Linked DNA regions of Xenopus tropicalis. The main gene of each other region encodes a partner of the protein of the gene in region 3 in a complex. Links are inferred from orthologs where the notes say so. Each region holds a gene or a part of one and is shown on either strand. Other genes may lie near its edges.

Region 1 (4,418 bases), on a different chromosome or scaffold from region 3:
GGAGTTTATTTAAAAGGTTTTGTCAATACATTAGCATTCTGACCAAACGTGACAGCTGTATAAAGAAGAGGCTGTGCTATCATTTATTCCTGTCCCTCTAGATTCAGTGACAACATTTTGTCAATCTGGACAGACCCTGCTTGGGTTTGTCCAACTATTTTGTTAAAGCCATATTTTAGTTTTGCCATAAAGAAGAAACTCGAAAAATCGGATTGGAAACGAACATTTTGCGATTTTTTCGTGAATTGTCGCAAATTGTTGCAACTTTTTCGTAGCCGTTACGACTTTCGCGAGTTGTCGCAACTTTTTCGTATTGAGCGCTTTCGTACTCGGCACGAGAGTACGATTTTTTCGCGACGGAAAAGTCGCGACGGCGACAAAAAAAATCTCAAAATACAGATCATTACAAATTAGTAAATTTGCCCCTAGGAGTTAAATCCTTGTGTACATGCTCCCTCACTGAACAAGTTTTGGGAGGGCATGAAGTGTGCTGTTAACAGTGTTCCAAAACTGCTCAGTTACTGCTACCACTCAAAAATATAGAATCAGATTTCATGGATAATTTTGTCCCTAACAACTGCTGCTAGGGGAGACCTACAGGGTCTGAAACATTTTTAGAAGAGGGATCAGCATTAAAAGGTATCTACTTATATGGGAAGGCACTGTATGCCTTTAAAGAATAAGTAAACCTTTTTTTTTTTTTTTTTAATCTAAATTTACTCTAAAATTACTCTGTTTAGCCCCCAGAATAACATACCTTTTTTCCCTGCATCCAGAATTACTTTGTCTCTCTATTACAAGCAGATGAGCTGCATCTCTTTTACCGGCTTCCTTGTCTAGTGTGAAGCCCCGCCCCTTTTGCTTTATGAGTCCCCCTTTCTCTCTCTCCGACTATGATGACCTAATAGAGGTGCCTACTCTGCATGCCTGATGTGTTTGTCAGCTCCATAGTACTTTGCTCACCTTCTCATGCCACTGCAACAAGACAGCACTGCTGTTGTCAGACGGACTCTCAAAGCCCTTGTAGATGTATTTCATTAAGAGGTCCATGTTATTTTTGTCTAAAGATTGAACAGCCTTTTCTATGTCATTAGCTTTAAAGGAGATTAGAACTTTCAGCACCAGGTGCTCAGCTCGATCCTAAGTAAAAAGCAATGATAAAGTCAATGTCCATACTCCAAAATTTAAAATAAAGAGTTAGAAAATTGTAAAACTGTATTGGAAAACTTGCTGGTATGACCAACTGAGTAGTGGCTGATTATTGGTACAGAATGCATTAAGTGCAGCAAAATAAGTTTGGCTGAAAGTAAGATATGAATATAATTTATAAAATAGTGTGGCAATAAAACTATTGGCAGGAGGAACAAAAAGCAAAGAGGAAGTAAGCACTGACTGATGTATATTCTGTACCCAATACGCCACTTTATAACTACCTTATTTATCCTTCAGCAAATAATAAGCAAATGAATAACAATTTGTTTCCTGTTGTATTTTACTAGAAGCATATTACCTTGGCAGACTGATTCTTGGTATTAATTGGTGGGTTCTTTAGAGCAGCTTGCAGAGCTCCCATCATGTTTCCTGTAGCAAGCTGTTAAGGGAATAACGTACTGACACAAAAGAAATGCCATACAATAATTACAGAACAATTTCAGTTGATGCTTTATATTCACAGATCCCTATATGGCCCTGGCCTAATATTAGCATAAATCTGAAAAAGCCTACTGTGCATATATATGGAAATATGGTCTGAATTGAAAATGTGTTAAAACTAATGAAAAAAATATAGATCTGGGACAAAAGTGTAAAAAAAGCCAACCAAGCAGAAGTTCCCATGCTTCCTGATGACTGAGACTGAGCCACTTCCTGCATTCCTAAACCTGAAGCAAGACCAAGCTTGCCTCACAAAAACATATAGCTTGTACTATAACACCACAACGACCAATAACTGCTACAGAACCATCAAGGTGTGTTTAACTGTGTGCTCAACCTGTGTGTAACTTGGCTCAAAGTCCACTATTGTATTATCCACCCTTGGAAACACCGATAAGAAAGCATGTAAATGTATGTGATTTCAAACAGAGAGAGAGTGAGAAAGAAAGTGTTTTTGTTTAGATAGACAGAGAAAAAGAAACAAAATGCACAGGATAAAGTGACTGACACTCCCACAGCCTCACAGCAAGTTCCTCTTTGTAGGAAAAGGAGATTAACTACTGACATTTCCTACACAGCAGAGCCTCTATATACGGTTTGCAAGTATTTTGCTTGCCATAGATCCTTTAGGTATGTAATATGGAGTCAGTGTGCAAACTGGAGTTGGTATGCACAGCTTCTGCATATCCACACATAGCAAATGACAAGGTGCATAGACAAAAGCAAATGTGTATTGACTCCAGTTTGAAAGCTTATTAGGCTACCATATCAGGACTATGCCAGTTTATTCTAGTAGATATTCCTGAAACCTTAGCTTGGAGATCAAACAAAGAGAAGGGTGTAGGGGGAAGTATAGGCTTTGCAAGATGAAGATGAGTACAAAGCATGACAGGAATAGTGGAAACAGTGGCAGTCAGCCCTCTCCATGTGACACCGCACACCTTCAGCATGTTAGCACTATGACACGGTACAGCCCATATGTCAGGCGATTAGGAGCATGTCTGTTCATACAAAGGTACAATGCCAGGCCCTGCCAGCACAGACAACATACAAGGATATCCCCGAATCGCGCTATCAACCTCCCCCTCGTCGGGTCCTTGCTGTCCTTCTCCCGCCTCCTCTTCGTCAACGAATTTGTTCTCATCATATTCATCCACATCTACTTTCCGGAAGCGTGCAGACACCGTATTCTTCGCCATCCCGAACCGGAGACTCTGTGCTGCTGGCAGGGAGCGGTCGTACTCAATGCGCAGGCGCAGCGGCTTCCGCTTTTATTCTCGGCTTCCGGAGACTGTCAGAGCGCTAGTTTTGCTGGTGTGGTTACCTCTGCCGGGATTAAGGCAGTATCAAAGCGTTCAGTCTATTCTGTGGGCTTTACCCAGGCGGGACACTCAGGCTGGGCCCGTGGGTAGTACATTTACCTGGGCGGTGGAGGTGTCAGGGGATAATCAGTTTGGTGTTTTCCAGTGACCTGACCTGTTGCATGGTAAAAAAAACTGTGGCATGGCTTGCTGGACTGCTTTTGTACAGAAAAAAAGGATTTTCTGGCAAAGTCCTCACCGTTTTGTGGGTTTCACGCAGTGCAGGACGGGTGTTTATATAAATCCAGACTAAATAAATAAAGTTAGGTATTGTAAGTGTATTGAGTGCATTTTGTGGAAGTCTGTGTTGCTGCATATGCTGATGGAATATGTGTATTTCCAATAGCATGTTTTATATAATATCCTGTGGTTGTCATCCCCTTAATTCAATGTTCCAATAGTTTATGTAATGGTACTATAGCAATGGCTTGTTGTCAGATCTTGTTATAATGTTAGTGTTTAATATAAAATAGTTTTTGCTTGTTCTACCCCCTCCCCCTTTTCCTTCTGAGCCTCCTCCATTCCTTGGGGCTGTTGCCTCGAGAGGAAACTTTGTCGATTTCAGCGCCGCGTATGGCATCCCACTGGCGATTTACATTCTAGCCGGTGGGATGGCATTTTGGGAAGATTAGTCGCCTGCACCAAGGTAGATTTGTCGCATGGCGACTAATCTCCCCGTCTGTCACAGCCCTTACGAAAGACGTGTAAATATAGAATTAAAAAAAAAAAGAATATCCTGTGGCAGACAATTATTGCCCCCCGGGTTGTGGACCCCTAACAAGTAACATAGTAAGTTAGGTTGAAAAAAGACATATGTCCATCAAGTTCAACCATAATGCCTATATATAACCTGCCTAACTGGTAGCTGATCCAGAGGAAGGCAAAAAAGTTTCCTGCCCAGTTCTCACAGGTGACATAAAACCTCAATATAGCGTCAAACAGTAATAAGAATGGGAACACAGGAGCAACTATGCCCTTCCATTGCCTGACAGGCTTTACTAGGCACACTTTCTTCTTTTTTTGTTGTTAAAAAGACAGATTCTAAAAGTCTTTCTGCATTTGGTTAATATGGTGATTTTATACACAGTAAATTGTCATTCTAGACACCATTTTCATGGATTTGGAGTACCGTTTAAAATCAGTCAATGTGAGTTTTTTTCTCATCATAAGCAACACTTTGGTGGTGTTCATAATGTCAAACTCATGTACAGGCAAAATGTTGCTACTTCAACTTTATGACATAAAAACTCATTTCTATGTAGGGTGGCAATAAAAAAAGCGTCATTTGGACAATTGTAAATTTGTCACATATGCAATTTCTATGTTATTTCAGTTGTTTGGTTTGCAACAGGGATTCAGTGAATCCAGGATAACTGAAATAAACAGAAATTTTGTTCATAGATA
Region 2 (4,265 bases), on a different chromosome or scaffold from region 3:
ATGAAAAATGTGAACTTTGAAGCAGAAAAACATTGAGGGCCAAGGGAGATTTAAACAGCTAGCAAAATCTCTCACCCTGTCCCCAGTTCAGATGCAGCCAGCGGGCAGCATGCTGCCACCAGATCCTTGGTGCCCTTGGCATGGCCCTTTGTGGCTTGCCCACAAATCCAGGCCTGAAAATAAGTAGCTGTGTAGCCACGGGGGCTGCCATTCGAGTTGAAACTGGGTTAGATGCCACAGATACAGAGCAAATCTGATATGCAATCTGTGCCTTTTCTTGTTTTCAAGCTAAATACCTACCCCCATAGCTACACAGCAGCTTATTTATTTAACAGTAGTAGAGTTTGTGAAGCAAACACACAAGTTTTACCAGTGCAGGGCAGCAGTACGTTATATATTTCAATACCTTCATCATTTTTTTTTTTTTAATGTTACTTTAAGAGAACCCACATCACCAACTTATTTCAAAGAAGTACCTTTTGCCTAAATTTTATAAGTAACATTAGAAAACTATCAATGGCCTGGCATTTGGACATTCTAAGCAGTATATTTCTCTGGCTTATGAATCAATCAACACCCTATAATGAATTTATTGTTGGAATTCACTTTCTGTCTGCGCTCACAGGCTGCCGACATGCCGGTCAGTCCACTAGTAAGAAGGAATGGATCCACTTGCATTGGCCTGTTCCCATTTTTACGCAGGTGGGGAAACAGCCCTGTGTATCACTAACCTAAGCCAGCACTAAGGAGACCTAAAAAAGTTAACTAAAATAGGGCTGTTTTTTTCCTCCAGGTTGATATATTTGATTTTCTCTGTTAAAATGTAATAATACAATTTAGATTCAGCGTTCTGCTATATTGTTAATGCAGGATTCAGCTGAATCTAAAAATGAAGGATTCAGTACATGCCTTTATTAAAATCAATTATAAATACCGCAACTACAGTCATACCTACAAGGTGTAGCTAAAATGGCCGATTGGATTTTTCTCTTCTAACAAACACAAGCCTTGGAGTTGTAACCATACATCCAGACTGCTCAGCCCCTAACTAGCACCACCATGTGTACAGCCATAATGTTTGCTAAAGAATGTAAGCAAAGTATCAATAAACCTGCAACACTGGATTGCATGGGGCCAGCAATTACCAGTCTTTCCCACTCACAATGATTGACCAGCCTCTTGTTCTGTCACAGCCTTTCATATCATTGCTTTTTATAACTGAATCTTTGTTATCAGCAAAGGATGAGTCAATGCATATTAAACTATGTACGTACCCCCAGCTGTTACCCACCACTCCCAGGACAAGGGAGGCACGAAGAGTGATACTGGCAAATGTGCAGAAACAACTGCTAGAGGCAGGGGCATAGCTGCAAGTTACTTAGCTCCACCGTAACATTTTTAGCTCCCACTCGCTTTAGGGTGAAGACACACAGAGCTACTAGTAGTAGCTACTTTTTCATGGCTACTTAACTCCAGAAAACACCCTGCCATAGACAATACTGAGACTTGCCTCTGCTAAAACGCACACATAGAGACAATTACAGGTATGGGACCCATTATCCAGAATGCTCATGACCTGGGGTTTTCCAGATAAGGGGTCTTTCCGTAATTTGGATCTCCATACCTTAAGTATGTTAATAAAATTATTTAAACATTAAATAAACCCAATAGGCTTGTTTTGCCTCTAATAAGAATTAATTGTATCTTAGTTGGGATCAAGTACAGGTACTGTTTTATTATTACAGAGAAAAGGGAATCATTTAACCATTAAATAAACCCAATAGGGCTGTTCTGCCCCCAATAACGGGTAATTATATCTTAGTTGGGATCAAGTACAGGTACTGTTTTATTATTACAGAGAAAAGGGAATCATTTAACCATTAAATAAACCCAATAGGGCTGTTCTGCCCCAATAAGGGGTAATTATATCTTAGTTGGGATCACGTACAGGTACTGTTTTATTATTACAGAGAAAAGGGAATCATTTAACCATTAAATAAACCCAATAGGGCTGTTCTGCCCCCAATAAGGGGTAATTATATCTTAGTTGGGATCAAGTACAAGGTACTGTATTATTATTACAGAGAAAAATGAAATAATTTTTTAAAATGTGAATTATTTGATCACAATGGAGTCTATGGGAGACGGCCTTTTGGTAATTCAGAACTTTATGGATAATGGGTTTCCGGATAAGGGGTCCGATACCTGTATCAGTAAATGATCAGCATTGTCTATTTGAGTAGCCATGACAAGTACTAGTAGCTACATGTGTCTTCACCCATAAGAAACATTTTTCATTAAAAAAATAATAAACTGTTTATCAGTCCCCCCCCCCCCCTGACAAGAGGGTTGCAGGTTAAGCATTCCAGTAATTACAGCATGAGCGATGGCCTAGGTGTGCAGTAATACAGTAAAAGGATATTGCCTGATCAGACTGTCCACCTCGGCCTCGTCGGGCCCCTGAGGCTCGGCCGGTTCCTCCTGCAGCTGATCGTCAACAAATTTGTTCTCGTCGTACTCGTCTATGTCCACCTTGCGGAAGCGCGACGACAGCGTGTTCTTGGCCATGTTAGGCTAGCCGGCCGGCTGCAGCACCCACAGGAAGGGGGTGTGACACCCTGATAGGGTGTGAGCGCAGGGAAGGTGACAGGAACCGACTGCCACTACAAACACTCAATGAGCCTGACAGCAAAACGCACCCCCTTCAAAAATGCGGCCACTGATCGCTAGGGGCTACAGTAAGGCTCAATGAATTCTCTCAATGAAGCTGTGTGACAGGAATTGGGGGCTGAGAGAGAGGAGGGAAGGGGGCGGAGGCCAATGAAAAGGGGGTGTTGAGGCGCTTACTCCCTGGCTAGGTCGGACGGCAGCTACTCAGGGTGGGGGTGACCAGGGAGGGAAGTGGCGACTGAGAGGGAAGGGGGCTTGGCCGCTGTCACGGACACTCGCTTCCAGTCCAGCCGGCTCCCTCCGCTTCCGGTGACTCCGGCAGGGCGGAGCGTGTAGCGGAAGCGGAATGGCGTCACTGACATGAACGCGTGAGAAGCGAGAAGCCAACATGGCGGCCTCTTGTTGCTTAGCAACTCCTCAGGCCGTCACCCCAGGGGCTTGGGGGACAGTAGTTAGGGGCATAGATGTCAACATTCGGAAAAGAAATAACTGTATGGAGGAGGCATGGTGCCTTAAACGAAATAAACTTACATTGTGCCACACTACTTGGGAATTGAAATGCGTGCTGTAGTCACACAAGGCAGATTTATATGTAGCCTTAAAGAAGGTACATCAGTGAATTGCTAATTGGATATTAAGGGTCAGGATTTTAAGATACAGAAAAAAGTAAACATATGCTCAGAAGTAATTCGTAAATCTCACCCATAGTATAGATGGGCCCAGGTGCTCATGCCCCAGACCTTCAGCTAGAGGGAGCCATCATGGGTATCTCACAAACATTGAGAGAAGACAAACAAATAAATAAGGTTGAGGAGACTGCCTCACGCAGACAAAAGCAAACAAAAGGAATTCTGGGAACAAATTCCAGACTCTTTAAAAAAATCCCATTTACATGGGTTTATCCTATAGGCTACAGCTCACCCACTGGGTTTGAAGCTGAAGCCAGGACAATAGCTGATCAGATTCCCAACTACAGACCGGTTTCACCCTTATTGGGGGCTCATCAGTGTAGTGCAGGGTTTTCTGATCAGCTTAGGTAGAGTCACCATGTGGTTCTACAAACAAATAAATAAGGTTGAGGAGACTGCCTCACACAGAGAGAAGACAGGCACTCTGGTAGTTCAGTGAAGAAAAGCGGTTGTCCACGAGAAAGTAAAGTAAAATCACAAAACTTTTATTGAGCTAACACATGATACGTGAACTACCAGAGTGCCTGCCTTCTCTCAATGTTTGTGATATAGTCAGGATTTTGAGACCAGTTTCAAAGGGGTCATCTTTACATGGAAGCTAGTTAGTGCCTGTGGGTGGTGAATTAGTAGGTCAGATTGTTGGCAATATTATATAAATCATTTTTTCAAGGGTGATATGGCATTGGCAATTGGACTATCCACTATATCAGAATGGCAGTAAATGACAGCGCCAAAAAAATACCATGATTTGGTCATTACTAGGTTTGTACTTTCCTGTTAATTTACCTGCCGATCATTACAAGTAATGCCCTAGAATGCTGACTAAAAGCTGCAATTATGAGAGTTGTTCTTGGACATATGAATTGCTTTCTGGCTCTTATGACCTCCATATTGTAATATTGATTA
Region 3 (3,723 bases):
GCTACCCTGGGCTAGTGCGGTTTTCTCCTAACAGGGGCACCAGCCTGGGGTAAAAGGTAAGCAATTAAAGTCACTTGGGGATGCCTAAAATTTTGGCTTAGCCTTTCCTTCTCCTTTAACATGTTCAAGCAAACCACTAACTGCATTTTGTTTTTGTTTTTGTTTTTTTAAATAAACCTAATGTTACTATTTTTTCAAATGAAATGCTGCCCATTTCAAGGACATTTCCCCAAGCACTTGTGACCAACGTGTATGCACATTTTTTTTTTCTTTCTAGAGCAGCAGGGGTACTATAAGGATAAAACTATATAACCATAGTAAGAATTTCAGGTCTGCATTTTCCCTTGTTTACAATTATTACTACTACATTTTACTACATTTATTTACAAAGCACCAACATATTCTTCAACATTGTGCAATAGGGTACATCATTATTTAACATGCAAGCAAGCCAATAGAGTATGTAATGATTGCTGATCATCTTTGATTTATTGAGGGCAATTAACCTCTCCATGGGGCATTAGCCTAAGAATAATCAGATATTGAAACTTTTTCTCTAGCATCTGGACATACTAGATATGGCAGAAATGTATTCCTATTTTATGGGAATGTTTTTTTTTGTGTACCCAGCTTCTGATTATTACGCTGTCTAAACAATCAAGAATTTGCATCTCTATACATCAACAAGCATCTTCCCTTGGCTTCAAATCAGCTTCTGATTCTTTGTATCCAAAACTTCCTTCTTTATAGGGAATCAACCCTAGAGTATATTTTAATTTTGCATAGGTGCTTCAGCACAGTCATACCTGCTCTTAAAATCACTGGACCCAGCTGCCAGAAGAACATTGTTTGGATGCCAATCCAGACTCAGGACCGTTGAGCGTATTGGTTTCTTGATGTGCTTACACACCCACCTACATTGAAACAATAAAAACTGTATTAATAAATATGCAAGAGGACAATAGACTAAATTACTTTATTCATCAGTAGATCATCAAGAAGATACAGCGGCATCCACTGAGATTATAAAAACAGAGGATTCATTTTTTAATTTAGGTGCTAAATGGTTTTACAGTGAGATTGGATAAGATGTGGAATGCTCTCCCTAAACTCTTTGTACTGGCAGATACATAAGGTAGAATCTATTGGAGAGAAGTCTAAGGACAATGACACACAGGGAGATATGTTACCCGTGTTTAAAAAAAGAAAAAAAAAAACCCTACCACAGGTGACAAATCTCCCTAAAAAGCCTTATCCTATGCTAACATTGGAATCGCTGTAAGTAAATTACATTACTCACCGCGATTCGGCTCTTAATCATAGGAAAATGCAAAAGCAGGCATTTCTCTGCTCTTAAAGCCGAATTGTAAGTAAGCATAATATATTGTGTCGATTGCAAGGTTAGTAAAGGGCAAGGCATTTTAGGAGAGATTTGTTACCCACTATTTTTTTACGGGGGCAACAAATCTCCCCATGTGTCATTGCCCTTAAACAACTGAATGGAGTACTCCTGAAACTGTTTCACTGCTCATGCCGTGGCTTCTTCAGGTAAGTAGTAGTTGGTACCTGTCACCCAGAGATAAAAATCTGTATAATAAATGTCCTTTCGGCAGCTTACCTAAGGGGACCCCCGATGGCCCTACCTGACTCATATCTGTGTGAAAATCACAGGTGTCAATCCAACAGGTTTCATTTTTTTAGTCAGATTTTTTTAGTCAGACCACATTGGCTCAGTGATGTGGTCCTCACGCCAACCACTCCTTCCTCCTATCTAAGGCCAAATGATCAAATTAGCCTGATATCTCCCACTTTAGGTGGGCATATAGGGGAAAGATCTGCTCATTTGCTGATCTCGCCAACTAACAAATCTTTCTCCCAATATGGCGATATCAGGCTAACTCGATCATTTGGCCCTAGGGCCAAACAATCAAATTAAAATGATAGATATAGGAGCTATTGAAGAAAGGGCTGAATGAATGAGCCAATGCGGTCCCCGATCCGACAGCGATGCCTGATTGACAAATTGACCAATTTTTGCCCTGATATTGGTCGGGAAAGCCCATTAAGAATCTCCAGACACGAGCAGGTATGCTACCAAATTGGTCTGAATGACTTGAGAATTGGCAGCTTAAATATGCCCATGTATGGTCACCTTAAGGATACATGGCATAAAAATGTTTTTACCTCAACTCTACTACGCTTTTCACACGCATAAAATACGGATGGCCATAATCCCTTCCACAAGCACCTATAATAATGAGCTGAAAATGCATGCAAGCTTGCACGTTAGTCTCAAAGGGGGAACAATAGAAGCCACATTTGGGCTGTTAAAAAAGGTAACGGGTAAAATGCAAAGGTAAAATGCCCTTGCCTGAACAATTGTCCTGAAAAATGCACCTAAGATAAAGCTTACTTTTAAATAAATCTAGTTACTCTATATTTTTCTACAGTTACCAATCATTTTCCTGCTCGAAGTAGCAGATGGAAATTAGCCTGGATCCACTGCCCACTGCAAACTTGTTCTCCTTAGGTGACCACTTTACACAACGTGCAGCACGGTTAATCCTGAGAATGACCAGTGTCGGTTTCCACACATTGTTTCTTAGAGTCCACACATAGGCATTACGATCCGTACCACAGGTTACAATGCGATTGCTGTCAGGAGCCCAGTCAATACCTTGGACCAGGGAAAAATAAAAATGTCAAGTTTGATAGCTTTTTAAACCATACATATTATATCACATTATTATTATATGGGCAGGGCGCTCTTTGCATCTTGTATTGGTTATTGACTGCTTTGTATGTAAATCAGCGCTTTTACTCCCTTCCATTCAAATGAATTTGGTGGACCCATATTTGTTATTATCTTTGTAAATATCGGTCATATATTTTATTTAGATTCAGCGTTTTGTATTTTGCATGTTTATTTATATACATATATTTCAGTCTTTATAACTTTGCAGGGTGAACAGCCAAATTTTGAGTATTCAGCAATAAATATTCTGTGACCGGCACACCCTTTAAAAACATCATAAGTTTATTGTAGACATATTGTTTAAAAGAATCCAACGTTTCGGTCCTCAATAGGACCTTTCTCAAGGATAAAACAATAGTGTTCAAACCAACCTTAAATACACTCTTATATCAACAGACCATTATGCAATTATCCAATTTTCTTGTGAATGTGCAAATTCAAATGGGCCAATCTCTGACCATCAACAGTGCATATTATATCATCATAAATAATTATAAATTGTTACATCATAAAATAAGTGCTTAATTAAAAAAATATTGAATATTACACAATAGTGTAATAACATAGTTACCATACAGTATAAATTCTTAAAAGTGCAATATTAAAAATAGAATTATTAAAAGTGTAATATTCACCAATTATATCATCTAAGGCAGGGCTGTCCAACTAGTGGCCGTGGGCCGAGACCCCCCTCTCTGTGGTCCCCCACCTGTCTGGCTGCTTTGATGGCTTACCATTGTGGAAGCTTTAAAGGGGACCTGTCACCTTAAGAAATAATTCCAAATTGATTTCTATTGTGTTTGTCAAGCAAAATAAACTTTACTTACACTATATAAATTATTTTAATCTTATTTTCTTCAGCCTTGGAATTCACAATTGCAGCAAGCAGGCAGGTACCATTTTGTGGACACTGTTATCAAAGCAGGCATTGCATCCTGCCAAAATCTTGTTTCTTTGCCAGTATGGGG

Evidence for each region.
Region 1: arpc1b (region 3) and arpc5 share a complex: the UniProt entries of both Homo sapiens proteins name them as parts of the arp2/3 complex. The link is inferred for Xenopus tropicalis from reciprocal best matches to the Homo sapiens genes ARPC1B and ARPC5.
Region 2: the proteins of arpc1b (region 3) and arpc5l are in contact, whole or in part, in a cryo-EM structure (PDB 6YW6), measured with the Homo sapiens proteins. The link is inferred for Xenopus tropicalis from reciprocal best matches to the Homo sapiens genes ARPC1B and ARPC5L. Residues at the interface, in NP_005711.1 of Homo sapiens: Arg118, Lys138, Arg142, Phe164, Ser201, Gly203, Trp204, His222, Asp223, Ser224, Thr225, Leu240, Ala241, Ser242, Glu243, Thr244, Leu245, Pro246, Phe281; in NP_112240.1 of Homo sapiens: Asn21, Lys22, Arg102, Gly139, Leu140, Gly141, Ile144, Arg145, Thr148, Arg150, Lys151.

Annotation. Positions count from the first base shown.
Region 1 is NC_030680.2:99,902,931-99,907,348, reverse strand, and holds the start of arpc5 (actin-related protein 2/3 complex subunit 5), read right to left. Parts: upstream 2,880-4,418; 5' UTR 2,853-2,879; coding exon 2,713-2,852; intron 1,584-2,712; coding exon 1,511-1,583; intron 1,141-1,510; coding exon 964-1,140; intron 1-963. UniProt on the Homo sapiens protein: Component of the Arp2/3 complex, a multiprotein complex that mediates actin polymerization upon stimulation by nucleation-promoting factor (NPF).
Region 2 is NC_030684.2:28,257,963-28,262,227, forward strand, and holds the start of arpc5l (actin-related protein 2/3 complex subunit 5-like protein), read right to left. Parts: upstream 2,903-4,265; 5' UTR 2,569-2,902; coding exon 2,423-2,568; intron 1-2,422. UniProt on the Homo sapiens protein: May function as component of the Arp2/3 complex which is involved in regulation of actin polymerization and together with an activating nucleation-promoting factor (NPF) mediates the formation of branched actin networks.
Region 3 is NC_030685.2:41,828,804-41,832,526, reverse strand, and holds part of arpc1b (actin-related protein 2/3 complex subunit 1B), read right to left. Parts: intron 2,678-3,723; coding exon 2,455-2,677; intron 915-2,454; coding exon 807-914; intron 1-806. UniProt on the Homo sapiens protein: Component of the Arp2/3 complex, a multiprotein complex that mediates actin polymerization upon stimulation by nucleation-promoting factor (NPF).